Arabidopsis thaliana: one gene and its partners. The protein of the gene in region 1 interacts with the protein of each later gene in a pairwise test. Each region holds a gene or a part of one and is shown on either strand. Other genes may lie near its edges.

What was found. The genes of interacting proteins can lie anywhere in the genome.
Region 2: the proteins of AT2G47890 (region 1) and LKP2 interact in a two-hybrid assay, tested with the Arabidopsis thaliana proteins (one study listed by BioGRID).
Region 3: the proteins of AT2G47890 (region 1) and NF-YC8 interact in binary tests that used the Arabidopsis thaliana proteins (3 or more experiments, as listed by UniProt).

The regions. Positions count from the first base shown.
Region 1 is NC_003071.7:19,606,076-19,610,816, forward strand, and holds AT2G47890 (B-box type zinc finger protein with CCT domain-containing protein), read left to right. Parts: upstream 1-1,920; 5' UTR 1,921-2,169; coding exon 2,170-2,640; intron 2,641-2,718; coding exon 2,719-2,880; coding exon of another isoform or gene 2,881-2,961; exon of another isoform or gene 2,962-2,963; coding exon 2,964-3,235; coding exon of another isoform or gene 3,236-3,239; exon of another isoform or gene 3,240-3,307; coding exon 3,308-3,401; 3' UTR 3,402-4,212; downstream 4,213-4,741.
Region 2 is NC_003071.7:8,193,982-8,199,079, forward strand, and holds LKP2 (LOV KELCH protein 2), read right to left. Parts: upstream 3,503-5,098; 5' UTR 3,275-3,502; coding exon 3,030-3,274; intron 2,402-3,029; coding exon 811-2,401; 3' UTR 531-810; downstream 1-530. Other genes in the region: AT2G18910 (hydroxyproline-rich glycoprotein family protein), read right to left, coding at 1-150; AT2G18920 (uncharacterized protein), read right to left, coding at 3,772-4,179.
Region 3 is NC_003076.8:9,940,139-9,943,251, forward strand, and holds NF-YC8 (nuclear factor Y, subunit C8), read right to left. Parts: upstream 1,310-3,113; 5' UTR 1,162-1,309; coding exon 598-1,161; 3' UTR 531-597; downstream 1-530. Other genes in the region: AT5G27920 (F-box family protein), read right to left, coding at 1,925-2,170, 2,258-2,552, 2,635-2,764, 2,861-3,113. UniProt on the Arabidopsis thaliana protein: Stimulates the transcription of various genes by recognizing and binding to a CCAAT motif in promoters.

The DNA of each region.
Region 1 (4,741 bases):
AATAGACTTAATTAGTCTCCACCATACAAATTTGGTAAGAAGAAAAACAATGATAAGATACCAGTGGCCTAATGCAACTAAAGCAGTTTGAGGAAGAGGATGGAAGATCTTTCGCGGTCCAAGTATATCATGGCTACACAAAATCACTGCTCTTTTTGCGTTCCTTTATTCTTGAGTATCTTCACGTTTAATTTACTATTATTTTCTAATGAAAAATTGTACACCTTTTTATATATATGAACTCTTTGTTTTTTCGTTAGTTGCTCGTGTAGTAAATTAAACATATATGCTCATAATCAATAAAAACATACAATGTTAGAAGAAAAAAATACAATTTTTTTTACTAACGAATCATATGAATAGTTGTTTTATATACGGTACATTAACGATCCTCTCATCAGCTTTATAGATAACGAAGCATATTATTCTCCTTAGTTCCGCTTTTTATCACTTGAGATTAAACTCTACTCACAGGTTTAAGCACGTAAATTAGTTACTAAATAATGGATTTGACATTTACGCTTTGCATGCTTATATATGTTACCCATAATTATTTCCCTTTAGTTACTTAAAGTTACCAAAATCAACTACTTCAAGATTCTCCAATCAAAAGAAGCGTGTAAAAGCCTCTATAGTTATATAGTAGTATATAGACCTTGAAGATTTCTTTTTGAAGAAAATATGATTATACTGAGTTCAAAAGGTCGAAAAGAAATAATAAAGGTAGAATCCCTTTACATGATGTGTGGAACAACTTTTCTTGACCTCCAACTTCTTGGGATCGTGGGAAATATATAGGAGAATCTAATCGGAAGTTGTACAGAACGTGTAAGAACTAAGAACCATATTCACTTTGTTGTCATTGTTATAAGATTCAAGATTCTTTGACCGGCGCGTGAAAAAAGCATCCACCTATAGGCTCAAGATTCGTGTCCAAGAAAATATCGAGAACCGATGATTACTTGGAAAGTGGACCATTTTTTAAAAAATCAAAAATTAAAAAAGGAACGTAGCTCATGCGAATAGTTTAGTCCACCAAAGTGAAATGGTAGAACATTTGGTTTCAGTTTAGTTGTGTGTATTTTTATTAAAGGCTTCAGAATCAATTTCGATTTTTGAAAAATGAGTTTTTATAGCCATGTTAGTATGTTACGAGGATGGAAAAGCAACCTAGCTAGATTATCTTGTGATATGTGTTATTGTTCAAGAGAAGTAGGGGCAGTAGTTGTCGAGATCATGTTATTAGTGTCGCTGGAATGTTAGATATTGCCCATCCTGTCTCTTTTTCCCCATCGTGCCCTAAAAGTCAAACTATGCATGGTATTAGCTAATCTTGAATAGGTTTAATTCAGTACGGAAACTCTAATTGAAAACTACCTTCATGGAGTAATAGTTATCGAGGAACGATGATGAGGTATTAGTGGAGATAAGCAGATTTGGACTCAATATCAAAAATTAATGGTGGGATCCATTTCCGTTTCACCTAATATACATAGTGGCAAACAAAAAACAAATATAAGAAGAAAAGATTCAGTATCGAGCATTCTAGCTATGTCGGTAACGTGACAAAGTCCTTTTTTTCGTTTGTCTGTTTCTTTAAAGTTAATCAAATCGGCCAACGCTGCCTCAACAACGAGCTTCCTTTTTCTAACGTCCCTAATTTGCCACGTCCATTTTCTGGACTAGTCCCGGTTTAAAAAATCTTCAGAGATGTATTCGTGGTCAACTTCATTAACTCTTTCTCTTGAGCCCTTCATTAGTTATGATCTTATTTACTTTTTAAAAATCTAACCAAGTACTGTATATTATATATGTGGTAGCCAAAATATTATGTTAAATTCTAGGCTAATCCGATATATCAAGAAAAATCAATATATAAAAATGGAGAGCTATTTTTCACGAGTTAAGTGAGAGAGATGAGTAAAGAAAGGCACGGGAAGGTGAAGAGAGTGTAGGTTTCCAGCTTCTTCCCCAAGAAATAAAATGTATTTGACTTTGTCTAAGCAAATATGTCGTCACTTTAACGTCATTCATTACCTAGAATGCAATTAAGATATGGCTTTTACATAAGCCACCAAATTTGGTTTTGTTGCCCCAAAATATCCCAAGAAAAGATCAACTTCTTCTTCTTACCAAAACTGTCGGCGTCGTCTCCTCTAAGCTCCTCCCATGGAAGCAGAAGAAGGTCATCAGCGTGACCGCCTCTGCGACTATTGCGACTCCTCCGTGGCTCTTGTCTACTGCAAAGCTGACTCCGCCAAGCTCTGCCTCGCCTGCGACAAGCAAGTCCACGTCGCCAACCAACTCTTCGCCAAACACTTCAGGTCACTTCTCTGCGACTCCTGCAACGAATCTCCCTCTTCCCTTTTCTGCGAGACTGAAAGGTCTGTTCTTTGCCAGAACTGCGACTGGCAACACCACACCGCCTCTTCCTCCCTTCATAGCCGCAGACCCTTTGAAGGATTTACCGGCTGTCCCTCCGTGCCTGAGTTGCTGGCCATCGTTGGCCTCGATGACCTCACTCTCGATTCCGGATTGCTTTGGGAGTCACCTGAGATCGTTAGCCTCAACGACCTTATTGTTTCGGGCGGGTCGGGTACTCATAACTTCCGGGCCACGGATGTTCCTCCTCTGCCTAAGGTATAACTTGCTCTGTTTTTTTTCTCGAGCCAATTGCTCGGTTTTTATATTTCTCTGAAATGTTTTGAAATGCTCCAGAATCGTCACGCCACCTGCGGGAAATACAAAGATGAGATGATCCGACAGCTCCGTGGACTATCCAGATCTGAGCCTGGTTGTCTGAAATTTGAAACCCCAGATGCTGAGATCGATGCCGGGTTCCAATTCCTAGCGCCGGATTTGTTTTCTACATGCGAGCTGGTAATAGAGACTGCTATTGGTTGTGTTTTCTTGTGCTTGTCAAATGATTTTCCAGCTTATAAATCTCTCTTGTCAATATGAAGGAGAGTGGACTGAAATGGTTCGATCAGCAAGATCATGAGGACTTTCCATATTGCTCTCTGCTAAAGAACTTGTCGGAGTCAGATGAGAAACCTGAGAATGTAGACCGAGAGTCATCGGTGATGGTTCCCGTTTCCGGCTGCTTAAACCGATGTGAGGAAGAGACTGTGATGGTTCCGGTTATCACTAGTACAAGGTCGATGACACATGAGATCAACAGTCTTGAGAGGAACTCTGCTCTCTCTCGCTACAAAGAAAAGAAGAAGTCTCGAAGGTAAACAAGCTAATTTAAAAAGTGAGACACCACCAATAGGATTGGGATTTGAATCATGTGTTGATGAAACAGGTACGAGAAACACATCAGGTATGAATCACGCAAGGTTCGTGCAGAAAGCAGGACAAGAATCAGGGGACGTTTCGCCAAGGCAGCAGATCCATGAATGATGATGAGGTTACTTTGATAATCAAAAATCTTTTGTATTAATCGAATCATATAGTGTGTATGATCAGATAAGTTTTTGTATTCTAAGCTTAGGAGTTATCACTGTATATCGACCACACTCTCAAAATTGTCACTTAAGAATAGTTTTTTTTTTGTTTTGCCTCCGATTCCTAATTTGCCAAAGGGCAAGCATGGACGAGCACAGAACAAAACATGGTTCACAGTTATATACAATCTCAAGACAAGCAAGCAGCAAAAGAACTTGTTGTAATGTTAGAAAGTGAGATTGGACCCATTAAAGATCCATGGAGCAAGAAGGGCTTGATGTAATTGATATTATGGGCTCAAGTTGTAACATAGTAAACCCAATATAGGTTGGCATGTTTGGGCCATTTTCTTTTAAAGCCCAAATATAAAAGCGTCTCTTCCCGATGGCCGGCGAAACAGAAATTCCGCTGCCGTCGCAGCTTTCACTCTTGTTTTTTTATTCAGATGAAATTGGATGGCCGATGAAGACAAACATCCAAAGGCATGGGCTCGCGGCAACAACTATTTGCAATCTACCAATATATAATAATCTGAGGCAGTATAAAAATACAAAAAAAAATGACAACACTTTTTGGCAGATCATTCCTGCTACGATGAATCTGTCCCAATGATAATCTGAGAAGTAAAGTAAGTTTTGGTTGAACAAGGAATCTGGAGTGGGTTTTACTTGTTGAGCAATCAGTAAGCACTAAATCATGTATCAGAGTTGTGGTTATATTCTCTATGTTCTTCTTAGAATTCAAATATGAATCTGACTTGGAGTTCTTTATTTTAATGATGGTTAATTTTACTGTTAATATTTTTGGATTTGAACATTTGGTGAAGAGTGGTTGCAGCTTGAAGCAATTTTGCATCTCTCACTCTTCGTTTACTGTTTGTTGACGTTGAAGATTAGGCCCCAACAAACTTGTATATAAGAGCCCTTCTCTGTTTATTCTCCTGTCTTAAGAGCGCTAAATCCCTTGGAGACATCTTCACCACACTGTTCAGAGATCTGTCATGGGCCCCGGAGGACCAGGAGGACCCGGAGGACCAGGGTTCTTGCCACCGGGAGGACCAGGCTTCTTCCCACCCATTGGTGGTTTCTTTTCTGGGTTCTCCGACATGATATGTTCCTGGTAAAGACATTCTCTGTTTTGCTATGTGTTTTGTAAAGAGTTAAGTGGTTAGTCTGACTGTGGAATCTTGCAGTCTATCTTGTCTGTGCTGCTGCTGGCTGCTACGAGATTGCTTTGGCGGCCCACCGCCACAAGGACCGCCACTTCTGCCACCCTATTATTGACCACATCT
Region 2 (5,098 bases), about 11 Mb from region 1:
AAGAACCGGTGGTGCCATCACAGGCTTCTGAGACACAGCGGAGGGAGATTCAGGTGGTTTAGGAGTCGCAGGAGGAGTCATAAAGACAGTGTAAGGACCGATTTTTCCGATAACAGGAGGAGGTGTTGATGGGTCTTTGTTGATCGGCATCTTGAAAGTGTTAAATTGAGAGAAAATGAAAGAGAAAGTTTTCAGACAAGAATCTGAGATTAAGAAGAAGAAGAAGAAAGGTTCTTGCTTGCTAGTTGTAGTTGCAAGTTGCAGACAGTGAAAAAGTGGAAGATTAGTTTCAGGGGAGAGAGTGAGGTTTTGGTTCGTCTCTGTGTTTTTTTTCTTGCAAGTGTAAATGTACTTTACTTTTCACACTGACCAATGAAAGAGTCAAACACACTTCACATTTCTTGCATTCTTTTTTTTTTCCTGCTTTTTCCGACGAATCTTTCTTTTCTTTTTTTTGGTCCTTTTTTTTCTTAATAATTCTTCAAAAAAAAAAACAATTATTATATGATCCGTGGAGAAAAGATCTAAACCCTAAACACAATAATTTTGATTTCAATCAGACATGAAACATTTTGGGAGGACAAAAAAAAAGGTTTGGATTTAGATCATTTGGCCACTTGCACTACAAAAGACGTTATGTACAATCCAATTCGTAATATTGCATATACAAAAAAAAAACATTAAGTCAACAGATGAACAAAACATGGACGTATCAAACTCACCATGTACAGACAATATGAACATGTTTTTGATCAATGTATAGATCTTTTGTCCAACACATCTAAATGCCTTTTTAACTTCATCACTTGATCAAGTACTTGCAGTGGTAGAAGTTGCTAGTAACAGTTCATGTGCTTCATTTAACATCCACTCTTCACCGGTCTGACCACCTAATACGACCAATCGAGTTCCTCCGACCACACATGTTGTGTGTCCCCATGCAAACCTCGGCGGACCTCCCTGAACATTCAGTATTCTCCATGCCGGTTTCTCCTCATTTGGATCAAGAAGATAAAGCTGAGAAGCCGAGTCAAGCCCTGCAACCGAACCACCAAAGATCAAGATTCTACCACCGGGAAGGCTGATTGCCACATGGTCCAGCCTTGGTGGTGGAGCTGCCATGCCTCCGGGGAGGCTAGATCCATACCCAATCACAGGTCTCCAACTCGGTTCATCCTCGCTAAGATCCATCGTGTATACATCGTTAGAGCGGAATCTCAAAGTACCGTTTTTAGCTAGACCGCCAAACATAAGAATCTTGCGGTCACCATAGACAGTTAGAGTATGCCCGAGGCGAGATGGGGGAGTCCATGGAACCGGTATCTCCCTCCAAGCAGGTATATCCATCGATAGGTCAAGCAGGAATGTATCGCTGAGTAGAGCTCCTGAATCAGCACAACCACCAGATACAATCAGCTTAGTGCCATCAAGTGTGCACGAACTGTGCCATGATCTTGGTATTGGAGGGGCCAATCCGGATACTTCCCTCCAGCTTGGTGGGTCTGCATCAAGGTCTAATAAGAACACATCATTGAGTAATCCGTGGCTCCCGTAACCTCCAAACACTACTAAACGGGAACCGTTGACACAAGAAAGTGTGTGACCCCAGCGACCCGGAGGAGGAGAGCTGACCAGAACAGATTTCCACTCGGGACTACTCGAGCCAAGGTCCAACACAAATGTATCATTCATCGGCTGCATATTCACACCTTCCCCGCCAAAGATAACAATCCTGTTCCCAACTGCACATGCGCTGAAATTACACCGAGAAGGCTCAACAGTACCTCCAACTGAAAACTTCCTCCATGCTGTTGCTTCGTGAGTGGTGAACTCTCGGGCCAGTCGCACCCAACCAATCCTTTTTGCACCGGGAACACTCTCAAGAACACGTGTTGCCTCGGTACCCCATGTGTTTTGACAGACCATTCTCCACACATCATCATTCTTTGTCAACTCATTGAGCCGCCTACATACACAACCAACCGATGCAATATCACCAGGAGTCAACTGTGACAATATCTTGATAGCTATTACTTCATCACTCAGTTCGAATATCCCACAGAGTCCACGAGAAACATTACGCTCTCCGATTGGTAAAGCAGAAGTAAATGAGCGAGATATTCTAGGAATTTCTTTTGCAGATAAATCAGGAGATGGGCCAAGATCAATTTTTGCATCTGTAAATAAGAGAACGCCTATGAAATGAGTGATTTCGTCTTCTTCACGGATAGGGACTAGACGCAGCTTGTTCATCAAGGGAGATCCATCTTTCCGAAAGTTGAGCAACTCGCCTTGAAACTCGATGCCATTTTCTAGACATTGTCGCATCTTCGCTACAATTGTAGAATCTACCATTGGATGCCTTCTTTTAGTAAATGGCCCTCTACATTGCAAGAAACGGCTGCCAAATAAAAAACAACAGCACAAATCAGATACAAGACCCTCCTATTCAATTCATCGAATAGATAACTAACAACTAAACAGATACAGTACTTTGGCGAACAATTCCTCACACACAAGTATTGAACAAAGACTAAACTATATGCATAATTAACATGGAATACCAGATCAAAAGCCGCTAAAACCCAAGAGAAACATATTCAACAGAAACATATATACTTAGACAAAAACGCATTACAATTCAATATTACAAAAATCAATAATCCCAAGGCTTTCATAAACCAATCAAGACATGTGAAAAACTATCAAAGTTCGAGTTCCTAAACACTAATCCACAGACATAGGAAACATTACAAACTGAACCTCACATTATAGCTTAGTTCCTCCACAACAAACTTCTAATTCAATAACCAACCCATGATTCCAAAATGGTTCTAGCTAATAATACCTAACATAATCAACAAGAACCATAATAATGAATCGAAATATAAATTTCTTTCTGTCAAAACAGCTTTCAACAAAGCTTTCTAGTAACATCGTACCAATACCACAAATGAGACAAAATTCGCTACAGTAAAACAAAATCAACACCACAAATTTAGGGTAAAAGTCAAGAAGAGCAAACTCACCAATTTCGACCAATAACTTCTTCAGCTCGATAACCAGTAACAATCTCAAAAACAGTGTTAACATAAATGATAGGGTTGTCAGGTTCAAGAGCATCGCTGACCACAAACCCACACGGCGCCGTGCCAGGAAGACTACCTACCGGAAACGGAATCGCTCCGTTATCTCCACCGAACCATCCATCCTCCGCCACTTCATCTCCACCGCTGAGATCGGAATCACTATCCCACTCCATTTGATTTTGCATACACACCCACAAAATAAAGCTTAAGCCCACTAATCTTCTTCCTCAGCAACAGGAGAAGAGACCCAGAAGAACAAAGTTTGATTTTGAATCGAGGAATCTGATATCTGTAGGTAATCGAAGTCTCCACAGGAAAAAAGTTCCAAACTTTAGACAAACCCAGAAATCGTCTTCTTCAGGAACAGGAGATAGAAGAACAGATTTTGAAATGGAATCGAGCGAAGAAAAGAGGAATCTGATATTTGTAGGTAATGGAAGTCTCCACCGCCCACTTCTAAGAGGAGGAGAAGAAGAAGAAGAGAGATGATTCGGTCGGTCGATGACTCGGCTCTTCTCAGTGCCTCTCCTTTTCCATCTTTAACCAGACCGGTTTCTTAATTTTACCTTACCGGTTTAGTTTATCTATCCGGTTTACACAAAATATCCTGTAAGTTTCTTATGAGATTTTTTTGGTTTTACCAAATGAGTGTATTAGAATCAGTTTTATTGATTTAAAAACATTAGAAACTTGAATTTATCATGAAACCATTGCATCCAAAACCCAATTCTTGCTCATCGAAACGTTCTCCGTCTTTGCTGAATCCAGTAATAGCTTCAAGCCAATCAATATTTTCCTCTTCTTCTAGAGCAACAAAAGCCGATGCATAGTTGGCTTGAGCAAGACATCGTACTGCAGCCCGCCAGAATGGTGTACGCTTCGGGACATCAAGACGTCTAAGAGCGTTAATAACATCTTGATACAAAAGTACAACACCCCGTCTTTCACGATACTCCGTAATAAAGTTTCCACTATTTTCGATCACGCTTTCAATGATAGACCTTCTTCGAGGTTGCCTTGCACGTCTAGAAGAAGTTTGTACACTGTTACGTGTTTGTGTTACGCCTTGGTTTTGGGTGGTGTCTGCCATATAATCTTGTGTGTTTAGAGGGTAGACATCATCTTCAACTATCCTAAAAGACGCTTTATGCAAATGGAAGAAGGCTTTTACTAAAGGTCAAACCACATTTTTCTGCGGTTTTGTCTTTGCTCTGCAAGTAAAGTTTTTATGTGAAACAAAAACTAATTATGTTGATGTTGATTATTTGTATAATGTTAATTGTTTTTTATTTTTTCGTGTAGGTATTTGCATTAGAGCGATTTACTATCTTTCAACAACTATTTCCATCCAGTTTTCCTTTAATGGTTGAGTGGGCAAAGATATATAAACCGTATACCAAAAATTGTGCCAACAGAAGTGGGGGACACTATCAAGAGATGCTTGTAGACATGAAGGAAGATGAGGTACCTAACAAAATTTCATCTCTTTGTCATATGCATTTGTTCTATATTAAATACTTAGATTATATTTTTTCAGATTAAGTGGCAGCCATATAGCAAAGTTATATTGCCCAAGGAATACACCTCTCAATTGAGTATGGTATTTGCACATGTTCCATGCATCTGCTTTAACACCATCGCATACAACCGAACTATTTGGGAGAGCCACTAAATAGTTTTCCGATTAGGAATGACGAGACCTTGGAGATGGGAGAGCCACCAAACAAGTGGAATGAAAGCAATAGATGGGTTGACCATTCACATGTCACTGAGGTGGTCGAGACTTTGCCGGAGAAAACCAGTAAATCGGCTGATGCAAATGTGAATTGTCTTTTTTTTTTTTTTCTAATACAAATGAATTTGGTTCTCACTTTACTTGATTTAACAGCTGGAGTCCTTGGATGAAAATCACAAGGAAGCGAATGAAGAGGAGGGAGCGAATGAAACGATGGGAGTGAATGAACAAGAGGGAGCGAATGAAACAGTTAGTCATTCTCAATAATACAAAT
Region 3 (3,113 bases), on another chromosome or scaffold:
ATAGAAGAAGATAGAGATAGAGGGGAAAAAGAACCAAACTTTAGATCTGGCCACAATCGTTAATTTCTATGCAATTGAAGTATAAAGAGGAAGAAATAGAAGAAGATCGGCAATAAATAAACGAAAATCAATGGCTTACCTTACCAGATTCGTCGGCAAGGGGAGGATCAGAAATTAATACTTGGATTGCTAACGGCGACAAGAACGAGAAGAAGGTTTCAAGGAGACAATCAAGTTCTGGGCTTGATTGAAGAAGATGAGAGTAACCGACGGTGAACGCAATCGCCAACGACGGCGCTAGATTTTGGGAGGATATTTTGCGGTGTGAAGAAAAAACAAGATTTTTATTTTCTCATATATTACTTTTGGTGCGAGAGAATGAATATAATGTTAGCTTCTGAATATTTCAAATTTCAAACCGAGAATCATCACGCTCCCAAATAGTGTATTGTCCCCTCAATGTCTAAGGTTATACATGTAATAATACATGTGTTTCCGACAGAACATTGTATCTCATGGCTATTTCTTTAAAAAAATTAGATCCATGACTATTTACTACATATTCCCTTGAAAATACCCTAAAACGTATTCCACTTATTAGTTTCCGTCGTCACCTCCTTTTTTCCCACGCGCTTCTTCCTCCTCACCAGACACCGAGGTCCAAGCTCCAGGCCATGCCTGCATTTGTGGTTGTGGTTGGTGGATTCCAAGACTACAACAAACAGGAGTTCCAATTACCATTCCTGGAGGCAGCTCTCCATCGTCAATAGGTGGCATGGCCACAGGATCAGCAGCGGCGGCAACAGACTCTCTCTTTACCTCAATGTCATCATCAAGCAAGAAATCAAAGATAACAGTTTGAGCCACTGCGGCATCGACATTAGATTTCTGTAGCGTGACTCGTTTGCTTTCCTGAGCATGGAGCCACGAACGCATCGTGAGATCCATGATAAACATCTCACATGCTTTCGAGAGGAGGATTGGAGCCTCACTAGCTATCATAGTCACATCCGGATCATACTTCATAATCTTCTTGATACGAGTTATAGGAAGGTCGTGATTTTTGAAATCTAAGTTACCTTCCATCTCTTTTGACCAGAAACTCTTCAGTTGCTCGTTACCTTTCGGTGGCAGCTGGTTGTTGCCGTTGTTGTTCTCCATAAGATTTTTTTCTTTTTTGAAGTTTCTAGTGTTCTAGGCTTGTTATTTTTTTATTTGAAGATTTGCATATATAAAGGAAAAGCTTAAGCATAGATTAGATATGGTGGGATAGTAAGCAGGTAAACTTTTACAACAATGAATCTTAACGCATTTAGTATATTGTTAAGAATATTTAATGATATTAACATTATTTGTTTGACTAACATTATTTGGTTATTATTATAAGAAGAAAAAAGAAAGTGATTTATTTTTACTTAAAGTGTATATATTATACCAATTAATAGTGTTAGAAAAAAGAAATAAAGTAAATACAAAACTATATTTTCTCTATAAAATTGCAAGATAATTTTTTGCTGTACAAAACTTATTTTGAATTATTTAGTTAAAAAATATGTTTTCAAATGTTAAATGTGAAAGCATAATTCATATCATTGCTCGAACACAAAGGAGTTACATGTTGCATCTGATTGGTTTAGCTTTCTGTTAGACTTCAAAAACATATGATCATCAGTTCATCACATAGATCTATTACACATCAACAACTTTCTAACTAGAAATCATTACTTAAGCGTTGTCCGATCTTTTTTACCGGTTATAGCAAAATATTTTACCGCAGCAATTCACTTAAACCGATTCATTTATATGGATCCAAAACAAACCGCTACTAAAGTTTCACTGATTTTTAACATTGAGATTATAAACATCAAAAACCTACAACAGTATAAACTAACCAACACAAGAAACCGCGTTGTTCTTTATGTTTTCAGTCCCATCTAATGCGGCAACCACGAGCATGAAGCGTCTCGAGCAATTCCGATGAGAGCAAGAATCTGAGAGGTGCGAGAAGTTTAAGCTTCTTGAGCCTATTGCAACAGGCTCTTAGAGCAAACTCAAACCCTTCTACAGTCACACGGCTCAGATGAACTAAGTCAACGTCTTGAACCCGACTCAGATTGCTCATCAACATGCATAGAGCCGTATCAGACACCGAGCAATTGCACAAGTTTATCTGCCAAACAAAACACACAACACAAGAATCAAACATGTTTCCAATAGATGCTTCCAGATCTCCATCTATAAATGTTATTTTTTGTACCTGTCGTAGGTTTTTCGAGAAGTAAGCGAGCGCCCAAAAACCCGAATCATCAATATTCTCGCAGAGTTTAACGTCCAAGTAACCCAATTTCTTGCAGCCGGACGCAATGGCTGCTAAACCAACACCGGTTATATTCTTTAGCCCTCGAAGTTCGAGGTGACTTAGAAGTTCTAGCTGCCGGATTTGTTCAACCCCGGTGTCAGTTAGTTCACAGCAGTATGATAGAATGAGTCGGTTCAAGCTCTTGCAACCTCGAGATAAAGCTGCTAAACCATCATCTCCAAAACCGGCACAGCTGCACTCAAAAACCAGAAATCAGTAAGAAAACGAAACATGTCTTGCACATTTTTCATCAAGAATCCACCAAGAAAGTGTACCGGTATAGATCAAGTTCTAGAAGCTTCGAACATTTGGAACCAATATGGAAAATCCCTTTGTCTGAGATATTTGTGCAGAGTCCAAGTTTCAATCTTTGAAGATTCGAACACTTCGAGATATATTCTAGCCCTGCGGTCCCAACGGAACAAAAAACCGTAAGATACCAAAGATGACAATATCTAAAACACAAACGGAGGTTTGAGTTCACATATATCTTTCTATTACCTCTGTCATTTACACCATAACAGTCAGTAAGATCAAGTTCTTGAACAAGCATGGAGTAACATCCAAGCGATTGAAGACCTTTCTCAGTTATCAAATGACAAGACTCTAACTTTAAAGTCCCTAGATTCCGGCAAGACTGAGCTACAGCAGAGATGGCTACATCCGTCACGAATCCGCAACACGCCAGATTTAATGTTTTCAGGTTTAAGCAGTTGCGTGCAAGACTTATCATCCCAATATCCGTCACATCAAC